3 linked regions of the Cricetulus griseus genome follow. The protein of the gene in region 2 interacts with the protein of the main gene of each other region in a biochemical or structural test. Links are inferred from orthologs where the notes say so. Each region holds a gene or a part of one and is shown on either strand. Other genes may lie near its edges.

Region 1 (5,503 bases), on a different chromosome or scaffold from region 2:
AAGGCTGTAAAGGCAATGAAGATCACCTACAATTCTGCTACTTGTGGCCATTAACATTTTGATGTATGTCTTTATCAGATTTTTTCTATGCATAAATCCATAATACAATGTTTTAAATTAAAATTGGATTATGTACCTGGTGGCAGGGAATAGTGTTGAGGGCTGAACTCAGGGCCTCAGCATTTAGGCAAGAACTCTACTACTGCACTATGTCCCCAGCCCCTGAATCACATGACTTTGTAACCTGCCTTCTATCTTTTAAGATTGTATCATTACATTCCCTTCTCATAGGCTTCAGTGAATGTACACCTCCACCATCTCTGTAACTGGTGCTCCTAATTAAGCTGCTAAAGAAAACATGCACTAGCATTTTACTGGTGCAAACACAGTGACGAGCAACCTTGTTTGTAGATAGTCTTCCTGTAAATCAGCTTTCTGAAAGGGGCATGAATGGCTGGCTGTTCCTAGATATGGCTTTTTTTATGTTGTTTATTTTGGGTTGTTGTTGTTTTTCAAGACAGGGTTTCTTTGTGTAGCCTTGGCTATCCTGGAACTCACTCTATAGACCAGACTGGACTTGAACTCCCAGAGATCTGCTTGCCCTTGACCTCCAGAGTGTTGGGATTGTCTGCCACTACTGCCTGGCTAGATATGGCTTCTTAATCTTGGCCTTCTAGGATCCTCTCCTTCTCCACAGGTTTCTTGGGGCCCTGCACTGTCCTTTCAGTCAGCTGCCTCATTGGGGAAGGTAGAATCTCGGAGCATAGCGAAACAAGTGGAGGGGGACCCTCAGCACTGAGAAAACAGGTGTGGTATCCTAGGACTCCAGGGCACCTTCATACCCCTGTTGAATATTACAGGCCTCATGAGTAACCCCTAATAGAAAAATCAGAAATTTTCCAAAATCCAAAACTTTCTGAGCCACAGTGCAATACCACAAGTGGGAAATCCCACACCATGACACCATGTTTCCTGCCCGATGCTATTTAAAATACTGTATTAAATTACCTTGAACAGGGCATATGAAGCATAGATATAAGCATAAATGAATGTCATGTTTACATTTGTGTCCTCTCTCCAAGATACAGCACACATATATATGCAAATACTTCAAAATCTTCACAAGGCCCCAAATCCTAAACACTTCTAATCCCAAACACCTTATGTAAGTGATACATAACCTGTGCTGGGTAATCAGGTTCAGAGCCGAGAACAATCTTCCAATTCTGTGTAATATATAATGATGACAGGACCACAAGTTGAGTCAAGATACTGTGTGGCATTGTCATTTGCATGCAATAATGAAGTCACTGTTTTTAGTCTAAGGGTCTGGGTTTCCTTTAGGGGTAAAGAAAATGTTGCCCACGGTGATAACCACATTAACTCCATGACTATGCAGAAAGCTGTTGAACTGTGCATAGTAAAGAGACAAACTGTGTGGTGTGTGAATCATACAGAATCAATGAGTTTATTTGGGAGGGAATGTCGCCCTCCTTGTCAAGGAAGCCCTGGGTTAGCATCCTGACTTTGATCCTGTCAAACAGTAAGAACATGGCCATGTCACTCCCGACTGGGTCTCTGTTTCCTTTTAGATGGACAGAAGCTTGTAATTATAAGTTCTCAAGATTACTAGGTGCTTTAAATAAAACCAGGCTAACAAGCTCCTGACTTCTCAACCCCAAAATAAAGGTGACCGTAGAGCCCCATGGCCTGCAGTCGTGACTCTGGCCATTCTCAGTGCCCATGGCAGGTGGCCTTTCTCATTCTCACCCCATTTCTGGAAAGTTCTCTCTAGACAAGGTTATAGGATTAGGGTCTGGAAGGGAGTCTTGCATAGAGGAGCTGACATTAGGTCCTGAAGAGTGGCTGGTGCTAGGCCTAGGTGCTGAGTACAGGGTGGGAGAGACACCACAGGTAGGATGAGGGGAGTCCTTTCTCCGGTGACATTTCCTGTGTGAAGCTCAGAATGAAGCTCCCTGAATGGCTGGTCTATGCTGTGCAGGCATTCTCAGCTTCCTCTGCAGGTAGAGGGCAGGCTTTCTCATCTCACCTATTATTGCGAGGAGATGTCACTTGTCCTTGGGCTTTCAACTTCAGTGACATTCAATGCTTTTCTCTTCCTTCTCACTCACCCAAGCTTCCTTGATTCCCCACCACCACCACCACCATACCCACAGCCTGCATGTTTGCATCTCTCCTCATCTGCACTCACCCTTTAGACCAAACCAGTGGTTATCAGGGACAACCGTTCACTAGAAGCACTTGGAAGTTATAGATCCCACTCCATGCCAGAGGCCTAGGCATCACTAACTTCTTACAGCTTTCTTGCTGGTTTTTGTTTGTTTGTTTGTTTGTTTGTTTTTCAAGACAGGGTTTCTCTGTGTAGTCCTGGCTGTCCTGGAACTCACTCTGTAGACCAGGCTGGCCTCCAACTCACAGAGATCTGCCTACCTCTGCCTCTCAAACACTGAGTGTGCTCCATCACCAACGAGCTCTTACTGGTTCTTTTGTGCTACTAAGATTAAGACCACCCACCGTCCTCCTTGTCCTCACTTGGAATTACAGTAGAGCTTTCTAGCTAGTCTTCCCACATCCACCCTCAGTGTCCTGCACTCTCTGTACATGCAGGCACGAAGCCTCACGGTTTAGTTCAAGTCCCAGCAAAATCACTGTCCATCTTCACTGTGATGATGTTGAAGAAACTAAAAAGAAAGAATTGGTCCTTCGCTCAGGATCTCCAGGCCTTTCCTGCCCTTTCACTCCTTCAGAGCACTCTGGCTTGATCTTGGTTCTCCAGACAAGAGACACACGGCTCCCTGGGCACCTTCTGCTTTCTGACACCCTGTCTTGCTACTCCTTTATCAGCCACCAAGGATGTCTTCCTTTTTTCTCTGCTAGCCTGTCCTCTTTCTGACTAATGCCAACTCTAACCTGGGATTCTTGGCGTAGCCCCACAGCCACCCCAAAGAGAGAATGAAAGCTAGATAGGCTTGAGAACACCCCACCCACTGGAGTGTACATTGTGGGCCACAGAGGAGATGTTGAATAGGAATGTTACAAAAACACTGCATCCCAACTCGCTACATCGCACTGGAAGTAAAGGAAAAACTTCATAGAGGGAAGACTCACCTAGAATCCTCAAGTCGAATGCTTTTTGCAGCTTACTACTGCCATTTGCACCATACACTATCACATTATAGGTGCCGTTGTCGTCTCTCTTCAGTTTTTTTATTCGCAAGGTTTCATTCGTCAAGATCTCAAATGCTTCCGATAGCAGAAAAGGTTTCATCTCTTTTTTTAACTGTGCGACCAGCGTTCTCCCCTTTTCCCATCGGACTTCATCAGTATCAGTCACTTGAAAGTTAGGGATGGTCAAGTTGATATCATGACCCAAGGCACCCCAAATAATACTACTGTCTCCGGAGACCGTCCCTGTAAAAAGCAAAATGGTTGCTGAGGTCTTGGAACTACCAAGGATCTCCCTCTTTGACTCTCACACTCATTCCAGGGTCTCCAGAATAACTCCAGAGAAGTTCCACACGCCGGCTTACCTTTGTTGGAAATGCTGAAAAGCAGAAGGAAGCCAGCTAGAAATTCACATCTCATCTTTAGACTCTGTTTCACAGTGGTGATTCTGAGTGCTTCTTTCTAACGTGATGGCAGTAAGACTGGCAGAAGCCACACCCAGCAACCTGAACCACGTGTCTCTCAGGCTTGCTGTTCACCGTAGGGAAGAAAACACTCACAGTCCCTCAGCCCCATAGGAGGCCCTCCTTTGCCAAAACAGGTGTTCTGTGATCCTGTGTGTCGGCGTCACATTTTAATCTTTACGAAACTGTTGAGGCTGGTGGTTTCGGCACCCCATTGAAGAGAAGAGCTGAGAGGTCAGTCACCCCATTTGTAACAAGGGCTCAAACTCACTCAGACTCACTGTCCACTCAGCGGTGCTGCCTCCAACCGGACCCCGTAGACTCACTGGTAAATGTTTGTAAGAAAATGGGATTCAACTATGTATCCTATGGGGAGAGATGCTAGAAAATGTGTGCACGTGAAATGATAAAAATGGATTTTCCCTCTTCCTTGAAAATATTTTTAATATTCTAAAATTGTTCATGTAGGGGCCTGGAAAGATGGCTGGGCAGTTAAGAGCACTGGCTGCTCTTCCAGAGGACCCAGATGCCATTTCCAGCACCCACGTGGCGCCTCATAACTATCTGTAACTCTAGTTCCAGGAGACCCAACAACCCTCTTCTGGCCTCTGTGGTCACTGCACGCAGGTGTTGTGCACAAATATATGTAAACAAGCACTCGCACAAATAAAATAAAAATAAATAAATATTGGGAGGCTGGAAAAATGGCTCAGTGATTAAAGAACAATTGTAGAAAACCTGAGTTTTGTCCCTTACACCTACAAGACAGCTTACAAACCTTGGTAACTCCAGTTCCAGGGGGTCTGATGCCCTCCTCTGGCCTCCACAGGCACCAAGCATGCAAGTGACACACAGACATACATGCAGGCAAAACACTCAAACACATAAAACAAGTATAAAGAAATCTAAAATTTTTTTAATTGTTTATGTTATAAAAAGAAGCCAATCTTCTCCACTATAAAGGCTGTCAACCCACCCATCTCATATTTAGCATACATTTCATGACTCTCTTGGAATTATAACTATGTAAAGAAAAACTGGTTCCAAAACAAATTTTTTAAAAACAAACTATAAAATAATATTTATTTTATTTATGTGTTAGGGTATTTTGCCTGCATGTATGTATGTACACCATATGTACTGTGTTGATTTGAATTAAAATAGCCCCAATAGGTTCTTGTATTTGAATGCTTGGTCATCCTCTGGGAAGAAACTATTTGGAAAGGATTGGGAGGTGTGGACTTGTTGGAGGTTCGTTACACTGGGTATGGACTCAAAGGTCTTAAAAGCCCATGCTGTTCTGTTAGCTCTCTCTGTCTCTTGCTGTGGATAGGAATCTCAGCTCTCAGCTACTGCTCCAGCACTATGCCTTCCTGCCTGCTGCCATGCTCCCTGCTATGATGGCCATGGATACTAACTCTCTGGAACTTTAAGACCCCAACAAATGGTGCTTTGTCATAGCTGTTAAAAACTAAGAATGCATGTACTGCCTGAAGAGGCCAGAAGAGGGCGTAGGATCTCTTGGGACAGAAGTTATAGATGGTTGTGAGCTGCCATGTGGGTGCTGGGAATGGAACTCAGGTCCCCTGTAAGAGCAGCCAGTGCTCTTAACCACTGAGCCATCTCTCTTATCCTAAGACTATGAAATAATAGTGAACAACCAAATTGACAACTATAGATGGTCTAAGACATGGAATGACCAGGACAAACAGAACTGGGGGAGAGAAAGAAAAGGTTTGTGTTCAGGAGAAGGGTCAGTGATGCAGATACCAGTGTCCCTGGAAAAAAGACACTCAGGAAGGTCATATGGGCAAGTGATACTATGAATGTCCTGTCTTTTGGGTTTTTTTTAA
Region 2 (5,251 bases):
TCCATCCAATACCACCTTACAACTAACATTAAGTAAATGTCTTACCACTAAAAGGCTTCTCAAAGTCAAAGAAACTGTGGTCTCGGCTGGCAATAAACTGGGTTGAAGGTGTCTGATCAAACACCCCCAACCAAGCCAGGGCCCCTATGTAAGTTCCTAGCCTGGCACAGGGTACCCGTCATGTGCAGGTGGCATGGGCGCAGGGCAGCACTGGTACGAGTGAGGCACTGCTTTTACGTGTCTGTCTGCCACTGCACTTGGGGCTCCTGGAAGACCAGTCCAGCAATGTTCCCTCAAGGCACCATCCCTATGCCAGAGATGTGGGAGCCTGGGAAATGTTAAGCTGCAGGGCCTGAATGGCCAAGGAAGAAAAGGCTTTATGCCAAGAAAGGTCAGGGGAAGCAGCTCACTGGTTCTGGGCCAGCTCTCTAATTTACTGTGTGACCTCCAGGAAGTCACTGCCCATCTCTGTGCCTGTATAATGCATGGTGGCCCAAGTAGCTTTGAAGAGCTACTAAGTTCATGCTTCACCTAAGAGCTATGGGAGCTACTGCAAGGGAAGGAAAAATCAGACTAGGGAGAAGAGGAGAACCCATGTTTAAGAGGCCTCCTGAGTGTTCTCAATAGGATCTCAAACTTTTCCAAATGTCCCAGCTGCAAAGGGGTTACTAGGCCAGAGAATCTGAGGTCCTAAAAGCTGAAGATCAGCAAAACAAGGACTTGCAGGGGAGATAGGAGAATAGAGTGATTGAAGGGAATTTGACATGGCAAGTCACAGGACACCTGACGGGCCCTACTACTGCCACCAAGGGCGGAAAACAAACCGAGGTGGTCCAAGACACCAGAGAGAAGCATCTAAGGAAGGAGGAGACACTCAAGGGCCAGGTAAGCCAACAGGAGCTACGGAGGAGCCCTGGCTTCTGGCTACCAGCACATCAAGGCCCTGATGCACACTCAAGGCTTTTATTGGGAAAGGGAAAGTGGCTGAAGAGTAGCTTCCAAGATCCTCACTGCCCAGGGCAGCTGGGGCCTCCTCTGCCAAGTCCAAGAAAAAGGGGCTACCACACTGGGCCCTTAGCAGGTTCACGTGTAGAGATCAAAATCAATGCGCTTGGAATTGTAGAACTGACCACCTGGAGGGTCCAGCTTCCGGCAATAAACACCATCCGGGAAGTAGCCTTCAGTCACCCAGGTCTGTAAGAAGAGAGGACAAAACTTAGGAAAGATGACAGAAGTCGGGATGGACAGACAAGACAGGAGGAAGCCACTGACCTGCATCTGGGCACTGGTGAATGGTCCATACAGCTCAGCATCCCCCGTGTTCTCCCACTTATATTCCCACATCACATCCATTAGACCATCTCCCGCTGACTCTGCTTCTAAGACAACAAAGACGTATCGGCCTTAAGTGCCCAGTCTCCCACTGGCATTGCCTCTCCTGTGTCCTAAAAGCTTACCTCCTTTATGCGCAGGGGTCGGGGTTTCCAGTTCTCCCTCTGTCACTTCGTCAGCAAACATGTCCAGGGAGGGTGGAGGTGTGGGGTCATGGGATCCCTGAGTCCGACACCCCAAACCCTTCAGACACATAGCCAATCGTTCCCTTGTTTCCTGGTATACACCAAGGTTGCCTCGAGCCACCATTTGATCAGCCAACCCAGAGAGCCGGTCTAGGCGCTGTGGGGAATTGGGCCGTCCAGTCCCCTTGCTGTCCCCTTTGCCTCCTCCTCGGGCCCCCAAACGCCTAAGTGCCCCAGCCACTGTCTCTCTTGGCAACAGCAGCTCCAAAAGTCCCTCCAGGAGGGCTTGGGCACTCATCGGAGTCTGACCCAGGCTGTCTTCCTCCTCTGAGTCTGAAACCTGGTGCTTATCAGGTGGCCGCTCCTTGATCTTCACCTATAAGGGAAAGATAATTATTATTTCCTACAAACTTCCACCAGGGCCCAGGCCCAGCACCTGCATTCCCAGGCCTCAGCCAGGACAGCTCCTGGGCCACACCCAGTCAATGTTGTCCAGCCAGCTGTCTCGGATCTGTGCATCCTGGTTCAGGAAGTAGTTGCCATCAGCATCAAAGTGGCCTTCCTCCATCTCTTCCTGCAGGTTGAAGGGTGTGATCCTCACACCCCCCTCACTAGGGAGAGTAGCTGCTTCCTGACCTGCACCAAAGACATGGGGGCCCCATGCTAGGCATGCAAAAAAGAGACAGGCACACTTCCCACCTCCATAATCAGACTTGCCCTCCAACACAGCTAATGTTTTGGGAATAACTCACCTTCTACATCCTCTGAGGCCAGGATATCATACTTGCTGGACCCTTCATCATCATCATCCTCCTCATCACTGTCTAAAGAGTGTTTGCCTTTGAAGCGGCTCCCAGGACCCCCTGCTCCAGCCACAGGGTCCACCAGCTGTGAGTAGAAACCAGCAAATGAGAAAGGCAACCTACTGGCGAGCTTCCCAAATATTCCAGGATCTGTATCCAAACTGAAAACCTACCAAACCCAGCGCACCGGGGCAAACTAACCCTTTCTTTCGCTTCTCAGCTTTCCTTCCTTTTATTTCTCCTCAGTCCTCCACAGACATTAGGAGTCTGACCATCTCACCTTCTTTTTGGGGACACTGATTTCATCTTCATCATCCTCATCTCCCACACCTTGAAAAGTCACTTTCCTCTTTGGCATGACTGGCAGAACACTTCCTCCAGCTGGACCTCGGAAAAGGATACGGAGTAAGAAAATTAGGTAAGGAGAGCCGGCCGCGAGAGCGCTGTGGCACCACATTTTCCTTGGTAAGCGCCAGGTCCCGTTTGAGCGAGGAAGGGTCACTGAACCATCTCAAGCGCTAGCAGGCGGGTCGTCGGGAATTGGTTTGGCAATTCATTCAGAGGCCCTGACGGGCGGATCTCCGCCCCCGCGCGGACCCTGTGCGTACTCCCACGCAGGAAAAAAAGCCAGGCTCCCCTACGTCACCACTCCCCTACCAGTGCGGAGCTACAGGGCTCCCCCAGCTCCCACCCGAGTGCCCACAGAGGCCGGTCGGACCCAAGAGCTGGCGCCCTGGTTGCTTAGGACCCCCAGTTCCACGCAGCGAGCTGCTAGACCATGTCAGAGTCGGCGCACAAATTAGAGAGGAAGCAAATTCGCAGGGATTCGAACAGTCTTACCGGCTGGCGCTCACCGAGGAGCCCGGGGTCAGGCGGGGAAAGAAAGGAAAGATGCTTTCGCCAGTATTACATCCGGGGCACTCGCCTCCATAACCCGGAAGGAGACTGTGGAGACCTCCATAAGGCCGGAAGCTGCTTCACTCCCATCCAAAAGACTGTCGGAACGGGCGGATGTGTACATTTGGTCAAGACAGTCTCCGCAGGAAGTGACGTAAGACCCCAAAAGACTCGCGTGAACTCCTATACCAGCCCCAGCCTTACTTAGCTTGAGGATGGCGGCAAGTGTTTGTTATTCCTCTGAAATGGAGACTCAGGTGAGGACGTGACGCTCTGTCTGCTTAAAGAGGTGCTGAAGGCCGGGCGGTGGTGGCGCACGCCTTTAATCCCAGCACTCGGGAGACAGAGGCAGGCAGATCTCTGTGAGTTCGAAACCAGCCTGGTCTACAGAGCTAGTTCCAGGACAGCCTCCAAAGTCACAAAGAGAAACCTTGCCTCAAAAACCAAAAAAAAAAAGAGGTTCCCAAGTCCTGGATGGAGGGACAAAGGCCGAGCAGAAGCTGTGGGCTCCAGTCTGACTCTCTATATAGGGCTCTTTGCGCCCAACGGAATTCAATAGAAACCCTGCTTTCCAAGCTTGACACAGTCCCAGCGCTCGGGAAATAAGCAGGACTGATTGTCGCGAGATTGAGGCCAATCGGGGATACAACGTGAGATGTCTCTTTAAAAAAAAAAAAAAAAATTCTTGCTTTTCCTGAGTCCTGTTTCTGGCTGTCAATACTTAGGCACTTTCCAAATCTAGCTCCTTTTAGGACCCAGCCCCATGTCTGTTCCCATTCAATTCCTTCTTTCTGCAGGGGAACTATAACAGGAAGTAGCATTGGCATCCGAGCAGTACCCAGCCAGAAGCCCATAATGCCCTACTCTGGGGTACATCCAGTTGCAAGGTGAAGTCTACCCCACCCCTCAGCAAAATGCTAAGGTGATGGAATCCCGCTCCTGCAGAGGTGGAGCCAGGTGAGATCTTCCTGTCTAGTGAAGTCTAGATCTGGAGCTCTTGAGAACAACTCAAAGCCAGAACACCTCCCCCCCAGGCTAGATAGCTCAGGTGATCCTGCAAGAGCTGGATGAGGGCGGCCAGATGGACCACACCTTTCTCTTGCAGGATTTTCTCCATTCTGAATCACCATGAAACTTGGAATTGTGTCCTCAGTTTCTTCCACGGGCACAGAACACAGGTCCTAGCCCAGGAGGGCATCTTGCTACAGAATGCCTGAAACACCAGCTCTGGGCACTATGGTGCATCCCAGAGGGAACTTCCTCTTCTACCTGGAGACCACACACCCCTGAGCCTCATCCTGCTGAACTGCCATGAGGAGCTCCACCTTAGGACCACAAACCCCATGCCTTTACTATCCTGATCCCTGGGGAGAAAGCAAGGGGGAGGGCTGGGGGGCTACAAGCTAGCCATAGAAAACAAGAACTGGATGATTGATTGTGTGCACCTGCTGAGATGAACTGAAGGCAGCCAGTCCACCCTAGAAGCCCAGTACCAGGAACTGCACCAAGCTGCTGACCAAGTAGCTCAATCTGAAGACTGGCTTTACAGCCCTGCTTAGCCTCCCTTTAGCTTCTAGGAGTACACAAGCAAGTTGGAATGTTCTCAGTACTCTGAGCTGTGCAGAGGGTCCCAGGAGGCCCCAAGCAAAGCTGCAGCAGGAGCTGGACCACTATGCTTGTTGATGAGAGATGTAGCAAGGGTCTGGATATACCTGCCAAGATCAGCAGACTGCACCTATTGGGACTTAAGACTTTCTTCCTGCCCCCTTCCCACTCCCTTACCCCAAAGCCCTCTTTAAATAACAAGGCAGGAGACAGATCCAGATATAACAGCAGGTTCTTTTTCTGGTTCCTCAAAGCGCCAAAAAACCACCACTGGGATGGGACCATGACAGAAGAGAATGTAAACATTGGGTTCCACCCCCCGGACTCAAGGGAAGACCCTTACTCAGAGAGGGGCTTGATGGCTGGAAAGGAACAAAATGAAAGACAGGCTTCCTGATGAGGCAGCAGAGAGGCCTGAGCATACAAAGC
Region 3 (5,594 bases), on a different chromosome or scaffold from region 2:
AGAGGCAGGCGGATCTCTGTGAGTTCAAGGCTAGCTTGAAGACAGCCAGGGGTACACAAAGAAACTCTGCCTCAAAAAAACAAAAACAAACAAACATAAAAAAAAGTAGCTCATAAACTATGGGAGCTCTATCCTAATGCTAAGGTCCCCATAGCCTCCAGCTCCATTCTTTTTGCAGCAAATCCCACTATGCTAAGGTCCCCATAGCCTCCAGCTCCATTCTTTTTGCAGCAAATCCCACTATGCTAAGGTCCCCATAGCCTCCAGCTCCATTCTTTTTTTTTTTTTTTTTTAAATTTTATTTTATTTTATTAGTTCTAGTTAGGGAACAAGCTTATTTCAAGTCCCTTCTCCCTCTCCCTCCCCTCACCCCCAAACTTTCTCCCCCACCCCCAGCCCATCCCCCCAACCCCATCCACCCACTACTCCCCAGGCAGGGTAGGGCCCTCAACGGGAGCTCAGCAAAGTCCACCAAGTCTTCCTATGCTGATCCTGGGCCCTTCCCCATGTGTCCAGGGCCAGAGTGTAACCCTTCATATGGGATGGGCTCTCAAAGTCCCTTCTTGCACCAGGGAAAAATACTAATCCACTACCAGAGGCTCCCTGGCAGCTCCATTCTTTTTGCAGCAAATCCCACCATTCTGGATTCCTTTCTTTTCTGGCCTCACTGGGACTGAACTTTTTCTTTTATATGCAATTTTACTAAGTTAAAGTTAAAACCTTCCTTTTTGATTAGCCAGATAGGGAGATATACTATAGAATGCTTCTATACACTGTAAATATATATTGTTCCCATTGGTTAATAATAAAAGCTGACCACTAGCCTGGCAGAATAGGGTTAGGTAGAACAATCAAACAGAGGAGGGGCAGAGTCCAGGGAGACATGAGCCAGCTGCCCAAGAAACAACAGCAAACCAGTAAAAGCCAGGGCTACCTATTCTTTTTTTTTTTTTTTTTCCTTTTTTTTCTTTTTTTCGGTTTTTCAAGACAGGATTTCTCTGTGGCTTTGGAGGCTGTCCTGGAACTTGCTTTTGTAGACCAGGCTGGTCTCAAACTCACAGAGATCCACCTGCCTCTGCCTCCAGAGTCCTGGGATTAAAGGCATGGACCACCACCGCCCGGCTTAAATATTATCTCTCGTGGGTACTGGGAATCGAACCCAAGTCCTCTGGGAAGAGCAGCCAGTGCTCCTAAATATTGAGCCATCTCCAGCAGCTACCCATTCTATATGGAGAGATATCTTGCCCAGCCTAGGCACAGGGGTGTGGGGGTAGAGAGGTGCCTGCCTCAAGGAGATGAGACAGACTTAGTATACTTCCTAGGGGAGGCCTTACCCTCTCTGAGGAGCAGATGAGAGGTGGGGGGGGAGGGGTAGTAGGGTAGTGGGGTAGTGGGAAGAGAAAAGGAGGGGGAACTGGGGTTGGAATGTAAAAAATAAATTAATAAAAAATAAAGAAATAGCCGGGTGTTGGTGGTGCATGCCTTTAGTCCCAGCACTCGGGAGGCAGAGGCAGGTGGATCTCTGTGAGTTCGAGACCAGCCTGGTCTATAAGAGATAGTTCAAGGACAGGCTCCAAAGCCACAGAGAAACCCTATCTCGGAAAAACAAAAAACAAAACAGAAAGAAAGAAAGAAAGAAAGAAAGAAAGAAAGAAAGAAAGAAAGAAAGAAGACAGGGCTACATGGCAACACAGAGTAATAGAAACATGTTAATTTAAATGTAAGCGCTAGTTAGTAATAAGCCTGAACTATATATAGGTCAAATTATATCATTATACAACTATATAATTATAGTTGTAATTAATAAAACTTTCTGTGTGATTATTTGGAACTGTGCAGCCGGGACATGAAAGCTCCACCTCCGTTTACGAAACTCAAGTTCTCCACAAAAACAGTCAGTGCTCCTAACTGCTGAGCCATCTCTCTATTCCCATTGTCTTTTTTAAAGAGGTTGGGCAAGGTGCTGGAATCAAACCCAGGCCTGGGCATGGTACAGTTGGCTACACCTCCAGCTGCCTTTTAAAACTGCCTGTTTTTTTATTTATTTAGTGTGTGTGACCTGGTACATGTATAGAGGTCAGAAGACAATAATCTATTCTCCCCTTCTATCACGTGGATTCTGGGGATCAAACTCAGGCTTGACAGAGCCTTACCTACTGAGTCACCTCAACAGCCCACTACTTGCCTTTTTATGTGTCTACACCAAATTCCTCTTTTTGTTCGCTTTTTGAGACAGTTTCTGTCTTAAAACTTGATCTGTAGACCAAGTTGGCTTCTGGATCCCTAGTGCTGGAACTACCTGGCATAAATTCCACTTTTCTTTGCTTTTCCCAATCTGACACTTCAAATCCTCTTTGTAAATCTGACTAAAATGCTACACTCTTAAAACTTCTGTTCTCCTGTGTGTGCTTATATACACAAACACCAAACCTTGAATTCTAGTGAATTCAAGTCAATTCTAAATACTATTAACAGGAGAGACTTATGTCTCATCTAATGCATAAATAAGTAGGAAAAATACTATTCATTTACCCAACACCTTATGGTTGGCAGGCATAGGCCATTGCTGTCCAAAGGTGACCTATGGCCACACACCCTAGAGGGAAAAGATGCTTAAGGGAATAAAGGAGTAGCACACTCCTACTATACACATCAGACTCAACTGCTCCTTACAGCCGACTTGCTTGTGCATATTACTTCAGACACCAAAACAATGAGGCTCACACGCCTGCGTAATCCCTGAGGTCAGATTCACATCTCAGGGTGGCAGTCGGGCTTATTCTAACAAAAAAGGCCACCATGTCTGTCAAGCATTGTGTCAAATTACCTAGTGCCTCTCAGAATATATGGCGGTGAACGTTATTCTTGTTTTTGAGACAAGATTTCTTTAAGTAAACCTGGATGTCTTGGAATTCGCTACGCCGATCAGGCTTGTCTCCCCCCCAACCACCCCCACCGCGCCCCGCCTCAATGCTGGGATTAGAGACCTTCACCACCACACTCAGACCCTCAGGCACTTGTTTTTTGTTTTTTGTTTTGTTTTGTTGGTTTGTTTTGAGATGAGGTCTCTCTCTACTTAGTGGTCACAAGTATCATTCTCAACTAGGCCTGGAGCAAGTAGTGTTCCAGAGCACTAGCCACCCTTCCTGGTATAAGTTCCGCCCACTGCCTTACCCCCGGCCCAGCCCGGGTACATAGCCAAGCGGCGCGGGCATGCCCAGGAACGGCTTCTTCTTCTTGTTCATGGCGGTGTTTTTGGCCGAGGCAGAGAAAGATAGAGGAGCAGGTAGGCGGCCGAAGAATACTCGCGGTGTCGCAGCTGGAAGAGAGGCGGCTACTGCGTCGCCGGCGCCCCGGAAGTAGAGAGTGAGGTCGCGCAAAACTCCGCCCACACAGAGCCTCTGACGGAAGTCAAAGATGTGAGTTTGCAAAGCGTTTCCGGTCGGGGCTGCTGGGTGGGTTTGCTGTGGGAAGCTGAGCACGCGTGCGCGGAAGCCACTAACCATTAACGCAGCGGGCCGCGCAGGCAGATGTAAGGGTCATGCGTTCTGTTGCTGTGCCAGGGACGATGCACAGCCTGAGCCCAGTAGGCTTGTTGAGGAGCGTCCCGGTGCTGGCATGGCCTCGAATCTGCCTAGCCTTAGGAAGACGGATTCAGCCTACATGACCAAGACTTGCCTAGCTGTACTGTGTGGCCACCGCCCGTCGATACTGCGTGCACTCCGCAACTACTGCTCTGTGCGCTCAGCGTTCAGAACTGCGACACCCCCCCCTCCTGCTCCGTCCCACCCCCGTGGGCCTTCAGAGAATAAGTGCATGGGCCGGAGTTACATGCTTGGGAGTGATTGTGTGCCCAGGGGCTTTAGTGGACGCGCACCACAGTAACTCTACACAGATATTTTCTGCCTGTGTGCAGCTCTACGCAAGACAATGCCAATCCCACCTGTTGGGTAATAAATAGATTCAGGTCATGAGTCAGGCTGTACTGGGCAATAGCCCAAAGGTATAAAGGATTGCTTAGCCACAGGGATGATGGGCTCTACCTGCAGAAACAATATACTAGGGAAAACAACCCTGCCTCCGGTTAAATCACAAAAATAGCTGTACCTTCCCGGTAGCTATTAAGTATATATGTATGTGTGTGTCCAAATCCCTCTACATGTGCTCCCCTTTCATCCAGTGGAAAGATCAGGGCCCCTCTGTTTCAATAAAGCAGTCTCAACCTGGGGAGAGCATCAGACTCTAGGGCAGACAGGAAAAACTGCAAATTGCTATGCTGGACCAGGCAACCAGACTTCTACGTCCAGTGCTTTTCAGTGGAGTACTGAAGCAAACAACCATTCTTGGCTCCTCAAACAAGCTTTTAGGGAGGAACAGGATTGATTGAGTCTATGAACACTGAACCCTTAGGAACAGAGTCTGATTCAGGAGTTCAACAGAGAGGCATAGTACTGCCTGGAGTTCAAAGTGACCCGCAGGCAAATGTCAGCTAGCGTCTCTGGAAAATGGTCTGAGAAAAGAGAATGCTCCAGTAAAGAACGAGCAAGTGGGGATGAAGATATAGCTTGGTGATTAAAAGAAGTTTTCATATTTTTGCAGAGGACACGGGTTCACCCACATGACAGCTCACAGACCATAAACCCCAGGGCTGGGGGATCCGATTTCCGCACCAGGTACATGCGTGGTGCACAGACATATACATTCGGGCAAAACATTCATGAAATTTAAAAGGGGATGAATAAGTTAGGATACACGGGTATTTGGGAGAGATTGATCTAGCCTTTAGCTGGACAGCGTAAGTAAAAGGTCACAGGTGTGATTAGGGCCCCCACTACTACCACACCGAGGGGACCGAAAGTTCCTCTCTTGCCAACTGCAAAGCTCCTCCAGCACATTGCAGGAGAGGCTGGTCCGCAGAGCCGTACCCAGGTGCGCAAGGACGCCTTTTGCCCTGGCGGACACCCTCAGCATACGCAGCCCGCGCGCCGCCGATACACCTCCGAGCTCCCGGAGCGCGCCTTGCGCCCAGGGCTGGGCGGCAGGTGCTTTGCCGCGCAGACTCCCGGGCCGCGGGGACCGGCTTGGGCTCGGCGGACTCGGGCGGGTGGGGACGCGGTGCGCGTTGCCCATCGGCCGTACTGGCCGCCTGGTACTCCGCGAGGGGCGTGTACCCGAGCCACGCACTGGCGGACTCCATGTTCACCGAGCTGAGGTCAAAGCTGAGCCCCCCGCGAGCTCGCGCCGGGGCTGTGCGTACAGGCTTCGGGGAGCGCCCGGATGTGGACGGTGAGGTGGGATGGACCCTGGAGCAGGAATAACGTGGGCGGTGGGGTGGGAGCAGGACTGGTACTGGGCCCAAGGAGAGCACTGAAGCTGGACTCAGAGGGTTTCCGGGGGCGGCCACCGCGGGGAAGTCTTTGTCCAGAATTACGGGGCAGGAGGGTTGGCAGGAGGGCGGCAGTCAATCTCAGGCCTTGGCTTGGAGTGGGGATGACTGTCAGGAGCTTCTTCACCAAGCTGACACCACACTCTGATCACCCTTTACTTCACACAGAGAAAACCCTCCCCAAACCCTAACGTTGGGGCCAAGGCAT

Evidence for each region.
Region 1: the proteins of Cd2bp2 (region 2) and Cd2 interact in a biophysical measurement, tested with the Homo sapiens proteins (6 studies listed by BioGRID and IntAct, with this or other methods). The link is inferred for Cricetulus griseus from reciprocal best matches to the Homo sapiens genes CD2BP2 and CD2.
Region 3: the proteins of Cd2bp2 (region 2) and pre-mRNA-processing factor 6 form a complex in vitro, tested with the Homo sapiens proteins (2 studies listed by BioGRID and IntAct). The link is inferred for Cricetulus griseus from reciprocal best matches to the Homo sapiens genes CD2BP2 and PRPF6.

The regions. Positions count from the first base shown.
Region 1 is NW_023276806.1:55,693,864-55,699,366, reverse strand, and holds the start of Cd2 (T-cell surface antigen CD2), read right to left. Parts: upstream 3,607-5,503; coding exon 3,552-3,606; intron 3,433-3,551; coding exon 3,130-3,432; intron 1-3,129. UniProt on the Homo sapiens protein: CD2 interacts with lymphocyte function-associated antigen CD58 (LFA-3) and CD48/BCM1 to mediate adhesion between T-cells and other cell types. CD2 is implicated in the triggering of T-cells, the cytoplasmic domain is implicated in the signaling function.
Region 2 is NC_048596.1:73,577,700-73,582,950, reverse strand, and holds the start of Cd2bp2 (CD2 antigen cytoplasmic tail-binding protein 2), read right to left. Parts: upstream 3,316-5,251; 5' UTR 3,161-3,315; intron 2,708-3,160; exon of another isoform or gene 2,702-2,707; 5' UTR 2,679-2,701; coding exon 2,601-2,678; intron 2,406-2,600; coding exon 2,270-2,405; intron 2,154-2,269; coding exon 1,996-2,153; intron 1,894-1,995; coding exon 1,458-1,893; intron 1,380-1,457; coding exon 1,273-1,379; intron 1,195-1,272; coding exon 1,084-1,194; 3' UTR 1-1,083. UniProt on the Homo sapiens protein: Involved in pre-mRNA splicing as component of the U5 snRNP complex that is involved in spliceosome assembly.
Region 3 is NC_048599.1:309,926-315,519, forward strand, and holds the start of pre-mRNA-processing factor 6, read right to left. Parts: upstream 3,370-5,594; 5' UTR 3,246-3,369; coding exon 3,175-3,245; intron 1-3,174. Other genes in the region: Samd10 (sterile alpha motif domain-containing protein 10), read left to right, coding at 5,196-5,286. UniProt on the Homo sapiens protein: Involved in pre-mRNA splicing as component of the U4/U6-U5 tri-snRNP complex, one of the building blocks of the spliceosome.